Linked DNA regions of Canis lupus familiaris. The protein of the gene in region 2 purifies or fractionates together with the protein of the main gene of each other region. This does not show direct contact. Links are inferred from orthologs where the notes say so. Each region holds a gene or a part of one and is shown on either strand. Other genes may lie near its edges.

Evidence for each region. Proteins that work in one complex are often made in the same cells at the same time.
Region 1: the proteins of DUSP8 (region 2) and MAPK8 purify together in Homo sapiens (affinity purification with mass spectrometry; 3 studies listed by BioGRID and IntAct, counting the BioPlex papers as one, with this or other methods). This does not show direct contact. The link is inferred for Canis lupus familiaris from reciprocal best matches to the Homo sapiens genes DUSP8 and MAPK8.

The regions. Positions count from the first base shown.
Region 1 is NC_049249.1:431,473-435,603, reverse strand, and holds the start of MAPK8 (mitogen-activated protein kinase 8), read right to left. Parts: upstream 2,839-4,131; 5' UTR 2,690-2,838; intron 2,084-2,689; exon of another isoform or gene 2,010-2,083; intron 1,538-2,009; exon of another isoform or gene 1,388-1,537; intron 1-1,387. UniProt on the Homo sapiens protein: Serine/threonine-protein kinase involved in various processes such as cell proliferation, differentiation, migration, transformation and programmed cell death.
Region 2 is NC_049239.1:46,262,062-46,266,331, forward strand, and holds the start of DUSP8 (dual specificity protein phosphatase 8), read right to left. Parts: upstream 2,817-4,270; 5' UTR 2,731-2,816; intron 2,477-2,730; exon of another isoform or gene 2,280-2,476; intron 1-2,279. UniProt on the Homo sapiens protein: Has phosphatase activity with synthetic phosphatase substrates and negatively regulates mitogen-activated protein kinase activity, presumably by catalysing their dephosphorylation.

The DNA of each region.
Region 1 (4,131 bases), on a different chromosome or scaffold from region 2:
AAATTTCCTTTCCAAGTGGCCGTTCTCTCAGGATCTAAAGGAGTATAATAAGAATATAGTTTCCTACTCTGTCAGGACACTTAAAGACAGCCCATTTCAAATTCATTAATGGAATATACTCACCAAAAGAATCAGTGATATCTCTTTTTAAACATAACTTAGGGGACGCCTGTGTGGCTCAGCAGTTGAGCGTCTGCCTTCAGCTCAGGGCCTGATCCCGGAGTCCGGGGACCAAGTCCCACATCGGGCTCCCTGCATGGAGCCTGCTTCTCCTCCCTCTGCCTGTGTCTCTGCCCCTCTCTCTGTGTCTCTCATGAATAAATAAATAAAATCTTTAAAAAATAAAATAAAATAAACATAATTTAGAGTGGAAAGGGGAGTAACTGCTAATGGGTACGTAGTTTTTCTTGGGGTGATGAAAATGTACTGGAATTGCATAGTAGCAATCAACGCAGAACTCTGAATATATTTAAAACCCATACTGATGCACACTCTAAACGGGTGAATTTTATGGTATGTCATTTGTATCTCAATAAAATTGTTATTTTTAAAAACCAAAAGAATTTCAAAAACACAAAAAACTGGATTGACATGTAGCCTTACAGTGAGCTACCACCAAAGGATTGTATCAGTAACACTTTCTGAAATCTGACATACTGTAACTAGACAAATCAATAAAAGTTTGGTATCTCATGATTTTCATTCCTTATCTTAATGAAGTATTTCCTTTTAATTTGTTCTCTGCATCAGGCAATACTATAAGCTCATTTCAAATTCTCTCATATCCAAAACATGCTAAAATTTATTAAACTGTGAGTGGAAAAACGATGTAACTTGAATAAATCAGTATTATTTGGAGTTTCAGGCCCATATGCTTCTCCAATAGTAAAATCTTAAATTCAGTTAGGCCCAAATGCTTCACCAAGGTAGAATTTTAAATTAAACATTTCTACAAATGCAATTAGAAATTAAACATTTCAAATAAAACTTTCATGTAGCTTATTTCCCATACTCTAGCTTTTCCCCTTACAGGCGTCATCAGAAACTTTTCAAGCAATGTTCAAAAAAGGACAAATTCAATCATTTTAGACCCCTGCTGTAATATCACTATGTCTGTGTGTGATACACATACTAAGAAAAAAAAAAGACAAAAACAACAAAAGCATTTTAGACAATATTTTATTTTAGGATAATGAATTAGAAGTGCTAGGAAAAAAAAAACTAAAATATTCAAAAGCCCCTGATGCGGTGACAGATAGTACAAATGAACGAATCACTTAGCCCACTGAAAGTGAGTTTGCAGAGAACTGTAAAGAACTGTAAAGACTGGATTTTAAATAGTATTAACCGTGAAGAGTTTTTCATCAAGCTCTTATTGAACACTTACTATATTCCAGGCTAGGGCTGGAGACACAGATGAAAGACAGGCCTGTCCTCAAGGAAATCCCATTTTGATTGCTTGCTTTTGTCAGGCACAGCACTGAGCATGTTCCCTTACAGCATGTGATCTCCTAGGTTTAACCCACAGCAGGGAAATCTGAGATAAACATTACAAATGACTTTTAAGACTGTAAGGCTGTTAAAACTGAAAAGTTAAATTTGTAAATAAAGAAAGCCATTGTACGTTTAGATCAACCTCCTAACTGTACTAAAAGAAAAAAGAAAAAAAACCCAAAACCAAAAAAATAAATGACCCAGAGTATAACGACACCTTTAACGCACACTGCTTACATAACTCATTTAAAAAGACATCCATTACATTTCAAAGCATCCTCCTCCATCAAAAAAGTATTTCTCTTCGCTTCAAACTCTGAGTACAGTGCTGAACAGCTGCTCAATGAATGAATGAAATAAACACATGTTCCACCGGCCCAGATACCTGCCGGATGCTCATCCCAAAGCACAACGGCCTGACAGGCCGGAATCCTACCGAGGCGGCTCCTGAATCTCAGAGGTAGAAACAGTGACCCCGCAACCCCGATGCCCGTAGTCGGCCCGCGGCTACGCACCCTCAGACACCCGCGCGGCAGGCGTTCGTCGCGATCCTCTACGACCGACTCGGCTCCACCGTCTGAGCCTTGGGAACACGAGTGCAAGACAAAGGGGAGGGGGCGGGGAGGGCCGGAAGGTCCGCACCGGCGACCCCCGAGGGGAGGCCGCGCTCGCGCACGCCGACCCCGGCCCGGCCCCGCGGACCCCGCAGCCCAGGGCTGACGGCGCCTCCGCCCGCAGCCTCGGCACAAAGAGAGCCCGTGCGCGAGGGCGGGCGTCGGGACTCGGCGGCCGCGGGAGCGAGTCAGGCGCCTCCGCCCGACCTTCCCCGAATCGCCTCAGGACCCGCCGCCCAGCGCCCGCCCCACGTTCCCTCCCGACGCGGACGCGGCATCCGCGAGGGCAGCGCGCGGGGCTGTGGGGCGGGGCGGGCGCGCGGGCCGGGGTCCGGCAGCCCCACGCCCCCGGCCGCCCCGCCTCCGCGCCCGCCATTGTTCCCGCGCCGCCCCCGCCCCGCCCCGCCCCCGCCCGCCCGCCGCGCGCCCCGAGCCGCCGCGCTCCCGCCCCCACTCCCGGGAGGGGGTCCCGGCCGCGGAGAAGGCGGCGGCGGCGGCGGCGGCGGCGGCGGCGGCGGCACAATAACATAAACACGGCGGGGCCGCCGGCGCCCGGGCCCCGCGGCAGCCGCCGCACTCACCCCGCAACGCAGCGCACGGCGACTGGGAAGCCCGCCCGCGGGACTGGCGCCGTCCGGGCGGTCGCCACGGCCGTTACCCAGGGCGGCTCCGCGCACCCGGCCCCGTCGTCCGGCCCCGGCCGCTCCGCTGAGTAACAGGAACGCGGGCCGTCACCGCGCACGCCCGCCCACGTCATCGCGCCGGGCCCGCCCCCGCGCCTCGCAGGCGGCCCGCGGGGCGGGGCGGGGCGGGGCGGGCGGGGCGGGGCGGCCCCGGGGCCCGGATGCGGGGGCGGGGCGGGGGCGGGGCCCCTCCGGGAGCGGGAGGCCGCGCGGAGGTCGCCTGGAGGCGGAGCTGCGGGGGGCGCGCCGGGACCGGGCGCGAGGGGCGTGTCCGGGGCCGGTGGGGGCGGGGCCCTGCGCGCGGCACGTGCGGCTCCCGGCCCGGGGCGTCCCCTAGTGGGAGCCGGAGGCGAGGTGCCTGCCCTGAGGCCGGGCGCCCGGGAGCAGGCCCTGGGCCGGGCACACACCCGAGACACAGAACGGGGCTTACCTTGACCGACAGCACGTTCCTTTCAGGGCCTCGTCACCTACGGCGAGTGATTGTTCCTTTCAGCCACCTGGAAGAAGCTGCCTCCTGTTTTCCCCAAATCCAGCTCGTGCTAGATTTAATTCATCACCTTATTTATCTCTGAGCTCCCGCAAAGCGTGTATTCGTTAGTTGCAGGAGTGACGAATTGGCAAGCCGTTAAATATCCAACAATGGGTGGAAGGGCGTCTAAATTACATCCATCCATCCAATAGAATGTAGCTTAGCAATTTAAATGCCAGGTGTTCAAGGAATTCTTAACAATACAGGAAAATGTTCACGATGTATCATGAAAACAAAGAAGCAGGTCTCTATATAATGATCCTACCTATGTATTATGCATACATGGAAAAAACCTGAAAAGAAATTTGCCAGATTAGGGGATCCCTGGGTGGCGCAGCGGTTTGGCGCCTGCCTTTGGCCCAGGGCGCGATCCTGGAGACCCGGGATCGAATCCCACATCGGGCTCCCGGTGCATGGAGCCTGCTTCTCCCTCTGCCTATGTCTCTGCCTCCCTCTCTCTCTCTGTGACTATCATAAATAAATAAAAATTAAAAAAAAAAGAAAATTACATTACTTTAATAATGAACACATGAATATTGTTGAGTAAATGACTGAATCCAGGAATACTATCTTCCCTTGTCCTGTTGAGTTGGCCTGTTTCCAGTGATTCTGAAATGAAATATAAATGTGAACAATCATTTGTACATTCTCTCCCCGTTTCCTTGCTCTCTCAGCCTTTTTTCCTTTCTTCCTTTATTTCTACAATAAACAATTATCACATGCCCATTCTGTACCTGGCACTGTGCTAGCACTGGCAATACAATGGAACTTACATATGTAATCAACATAATATGGAATTAATAATGGTAAA
Region 2 (4,270 bases):
CCACCAGGCTGGGCACCACCCAGCAGGCGGCAAGCAGCTCCCCTTGCCCTGCAAGGCCACATACACAGGGCAGCCTGTGCTGTGACATGCCCTTCTGCACCCTGTCTGAACCCTGTCTGCTCACCTCTTTCCCACAAGCCACCCCATCCCCTCATGCAACTACTCACAAGGCAGACATGTGTGCTGGTACATGTGGCCACTGGGTGCACTCATCCTCACCCTCTGGGGGCCAAATCCCCTCAAATCCCAGGACACTCAAACCCCAGGGGCCAGCCCCACGATCTCTCTACATTGTTGGCTCTCAGGGCCTCCATGGGGCACATCTTTGTCCCTGAGCAAGGGACATGCGTGGCCTAAAAACTCCCAATGGATAGCATCTTCACCAAGGCCTTCTGCTCAGCACCTACTGACGGGGAACTCACTACCTCCAGAGACAACGGTCAGGACTGTCAGCCATGGGTGGGCCTTGGTGTCTCCAGCCCGAGTGGTGCCTGGCACTCATAGGTAGACCCTCGAGAAGAGCTGGCAGGGGGCCCCCACTATGCTGCGATGTCCAGCTCACTGTGACCCAGGGGTACCTCTGGAGTCAAAAACTGCTGCACAATGAAGCCAGGAGATAGGCTGGTAGATAGCTCTCACCCACTCAGCTCATTTTTCCCCTCCTCTGCTTTCATCAGGGACCCCTAGATGCTCTCACTCCTGCCCCCTCATCTCCCTGGGCTGCAGGGAACAGGACCCAAGTTGGCCTTTACCTGGTCCCAGAGGGACTGATAGCAAGGCCAAGTAGGGCTGACTTGGTGTGGAGGCCATGGGCCTGGGAGACAATGGGGTGGGGCCCTGCCCCCTCAGTTCACAGGGGTCTGGGTAGAGCTTGCAGTAGGTCTCAGCGTGTGGGTCCCTCAGGACCCTACAGATCTAGGTTTCCTCTGTTCCTGCCTGGCTTGTGCTAGCCCTACTGACCTGCAGGACTCTGGTCACTGTCCCCCCATGCTACACATGTGGGCCATTCCGGGATATCTATGGTCATTGCCTGGAGCGGTCCAGGCAGAAGTGGACTCAGCCTGTGCAGTTCTGGTGGTCAGAGTCTGACCCATGTCCCTCTTGCCATGGTTTGGCTCCTTCATCTGCTTTCCCTCTGAGCTGCACCCTCTGGAGATGCAGCCAGGATACCCCCTGGCTTCCAAGGCCCCTTGGGCCCTCTGTCCGTGCAGCAGAAACATCTGGGCTCCAAGGTCAGCCTCAGCTGGAGAGGAGAGGATGCTGGGTAGGTTTCTGGAGCAGAGGATGCCTTCAAGCATCCTTCTGCATCCATTGCATGGAAGCCTTCGTTCCTGGAGGCAGCCTCGGGGGCACAGGAGCCCTCCCAAGGGCTGAGGGCAGCAGGGGGGGAACGGGGTGGGGGTTGTTGGGAACTAGAACCTGCCCAGCAGCTCTCCCGGAGCCCTTGGCTGACTGCAGCAGGAGGTATTCAGGATGAACTCCCAGCTCCTAGTCACATGATCTGTCCTACCGGGCAGGTGCTTATTAAGCATCTGAGGAGTGAATTCCTGGGACATCTGTCCTCCCTGAGCAGGAGGTGGGGGGGGGGGGGTGTACTGGATGCTACACTCATTTCCTGAGCTGCCCTCCCAGCAAGAAGGTCTGAGGGAGGCAGAGGGCAGTGTCTGGACCCACAGACCTCCGCTCAGACTCCCAGGGGCAGGGGGCACAGCAGAATGCTGCTCCCCTGATCTGCAGCACCCCCACCTCCACCCCAGGCTGCACCATGACACTTTGGGCATCACCGTAGACCCTGCCACTTCTCTCCTCTGCCGCATGGACTGCCCCTTGCACCCCGCAATCACTGAAGCACCCAGGCCCCCAACTCCCCCCTGCAGAAGCCAGTCCATTTTTGCAGTGGGAAGTCAGGAGGCAAATTCTCCCAGTCGCGGTGACCTGATGGGAGCTGGGCCCATTGTGGCCCCCTCCCTTCAAGGCCAGACACTGGGGTACCCCTCCCCACCAAGGTGGGCAGATAGGCTGAGGCAGGCTGCTTGCACTCAGCCTGGCAGTGCCAGCCCCTCCCCCAGCACCCGCTGCTGCCTCTGCAGCAGGCTGGCGGATGGTCTTTATTCTGCAGAGGCCAGCTGAGCACCCTGAGGTGGGGGTACCGGTGGCGGCCTGAACACACAGGGGACAGGGGTCTGCAGCTCCTCCCCACCGAGCTCGGAATGGGCCCTTTCCTAAGCCTCCCACAGGCCCAAACCCTCCGCTCCTTTGGTCAGGGCCTGCATCCCTACCCTGCGGGGGCAGGAACGACCGTCCGATCTGGGGCCTCCCTGGTGCGGTGGGGGGCAGCCTGGGAAGTCTGGGGCTCTAGGCTGAGGTCCGTACAGGTCTGCGCAGAGGGCCCAGGTCCGGGGTGCTTACTGCATGCCCTTCCCCCCACAAAATAAGAAAGAATTTCGAGGAGAAAGGCGGCGAAGCGGGGGTTGGCGGGGGCAGCGCGGACCGGGCCGGGGGTCCGCTGGGCGCCGTGGGAGGCGGGGGAAGGGCTTCCCGGGCCGGCCCGCCGCGTCCCCCTGAACCGGGCCTCTTCCCTCCGGCCCGCCGCCGCCGCCGCCGCCGCCGCCTCTTCCCGGGCGCCCGCCGGGTGCAGCCGCCCCAGCGCTCCCGCCGTTGCGCCCACCGGACCGGCTCCCCGCCCGCGCCCCGCGTGTCCCCGCGCCCCCGCTCGGCGCCCCCGCTCACCTCGCCGCTGCTCGCGTCCGGGGCGCACGGGGACCGGCGCCGCCCATGGGCCCGGCGGGGGCCCGCGCAGCCGGGGCAGGGGCCGGGGGAGCGCGCGGGCCTCGTCGCCGTCGCCGCCGTCGCCGCCGCCGCCGCGGGGAGCGCTCGCTCGGGCCGGGGCGCGCGCACTGCGGGCGGGCACGCGCGCTCGCGGCGCGCATCCCACCCCGGGCTCGGCGGGCGCGGCCGGTGCGGCTCCGGCGCGGCTCGGGCTCCGGCGTCCGGGCGGGGGGCGCGGAGCCGGCTGGGCCGCCGCGCTCGGCCGCGAGTGACAGGCCCGGGGCGGAGGGCGGGGCTGCCGGCGGGGATGAGGTCATGCCGAGCGAAAAAGGCCCTGACGTCACCTGCAGCCAATCAGCGCGCGCAGCTCCAGGGCAGGTGACGTCAGCCGGAGCCCGGCCGCGGGTGCAGATCAGAGGCGGCGGCCGCGGGGGGCAGGAGCGGGGCGGGGGGGGGGGGGGGCGAGCGGGCCTCCGCCCTCCGCCCTCTGCCCTCCGCCCCTCGCCCGGGCACCGGCTCTTAAAGGCGCCGCACAGCGTCCCTCCCGCGCCGCCGGGGCCCCCGCCTCCGGGAAGCCTTCCCAGCCCCGGCGCCGAGCCCACAGCCGGGGACGCCGGGCGTCGCGGCACTCACGCCCGAGGAGGGGCCGGCCGAACGGGTCCTGGCGCGAGGGTCCCTCCCCCCTCCCCCGCCGCGGCCGGAGCTGGCGCCGCCTCCCCCGGCCCACAGCCTTTGTTTGCGCGGGGCCTGCGGGCCGGGGACCCCGCGGCGAGCTGGGCCCGGCGAGCACCTCACCTGCGGCACCTACGCCGGCGCCTCCACGACCCCGGGGCTGGGAACCTGGGTTTCCACTGCGCTGGGCAGCAGATGGGGAGCTCGGAGGCGGGATGGCTCGTGTGGGGTCACACACCTCCTGGAGTCCGGCGAGGGGGTCCCCAGTGCAGCGCTGACCCCTGGCCCCACCGGGTCACCTCTGGCCCCTGGTGCTTCCAGGGAGAACAGCGCTCATGGGGTGCACCCTGCGTGTTCTCCTCCCCTCCCCACACAAAGAAGGCTGTTGAGGGTCTGTCCCCGCCCCCCCCCCCCACCCCCCACGGTGGGGAAAGTCGCGCTGGAGGCCAGGGTGCAGGGAGTCCAGAGGGCGCGTTGGGGGTGGGGGGACCTAGGTAATTACCCCTTGAGCAGGGTTGGGCCGGAAACAAGGTGGTGGGCCGTCTGGAGGCCACCCCAGGAGGTGGCATGCAAGCAATGGCTGGAGGCTGTGGAGGCACCCTGGGTGCAGGAGGGACCCCCCCCTCACTCCCCCCACCCCCATCCCCCAACCCCGCCCTAGGCAGGAAAGACCTGAACCCTCCCTAGACCTGGGGGCAGTCAGGGAGCTAGGACCAGGAGACCCAGGAGGATACACATCTCCAGGTTCATCCAGTCCTTACTGAGCACCTTCTGGGGCCAGGCCCTGTGCTGGGCACTGGGGAGTTAGTTCTGAGATGGAGGACAAAGA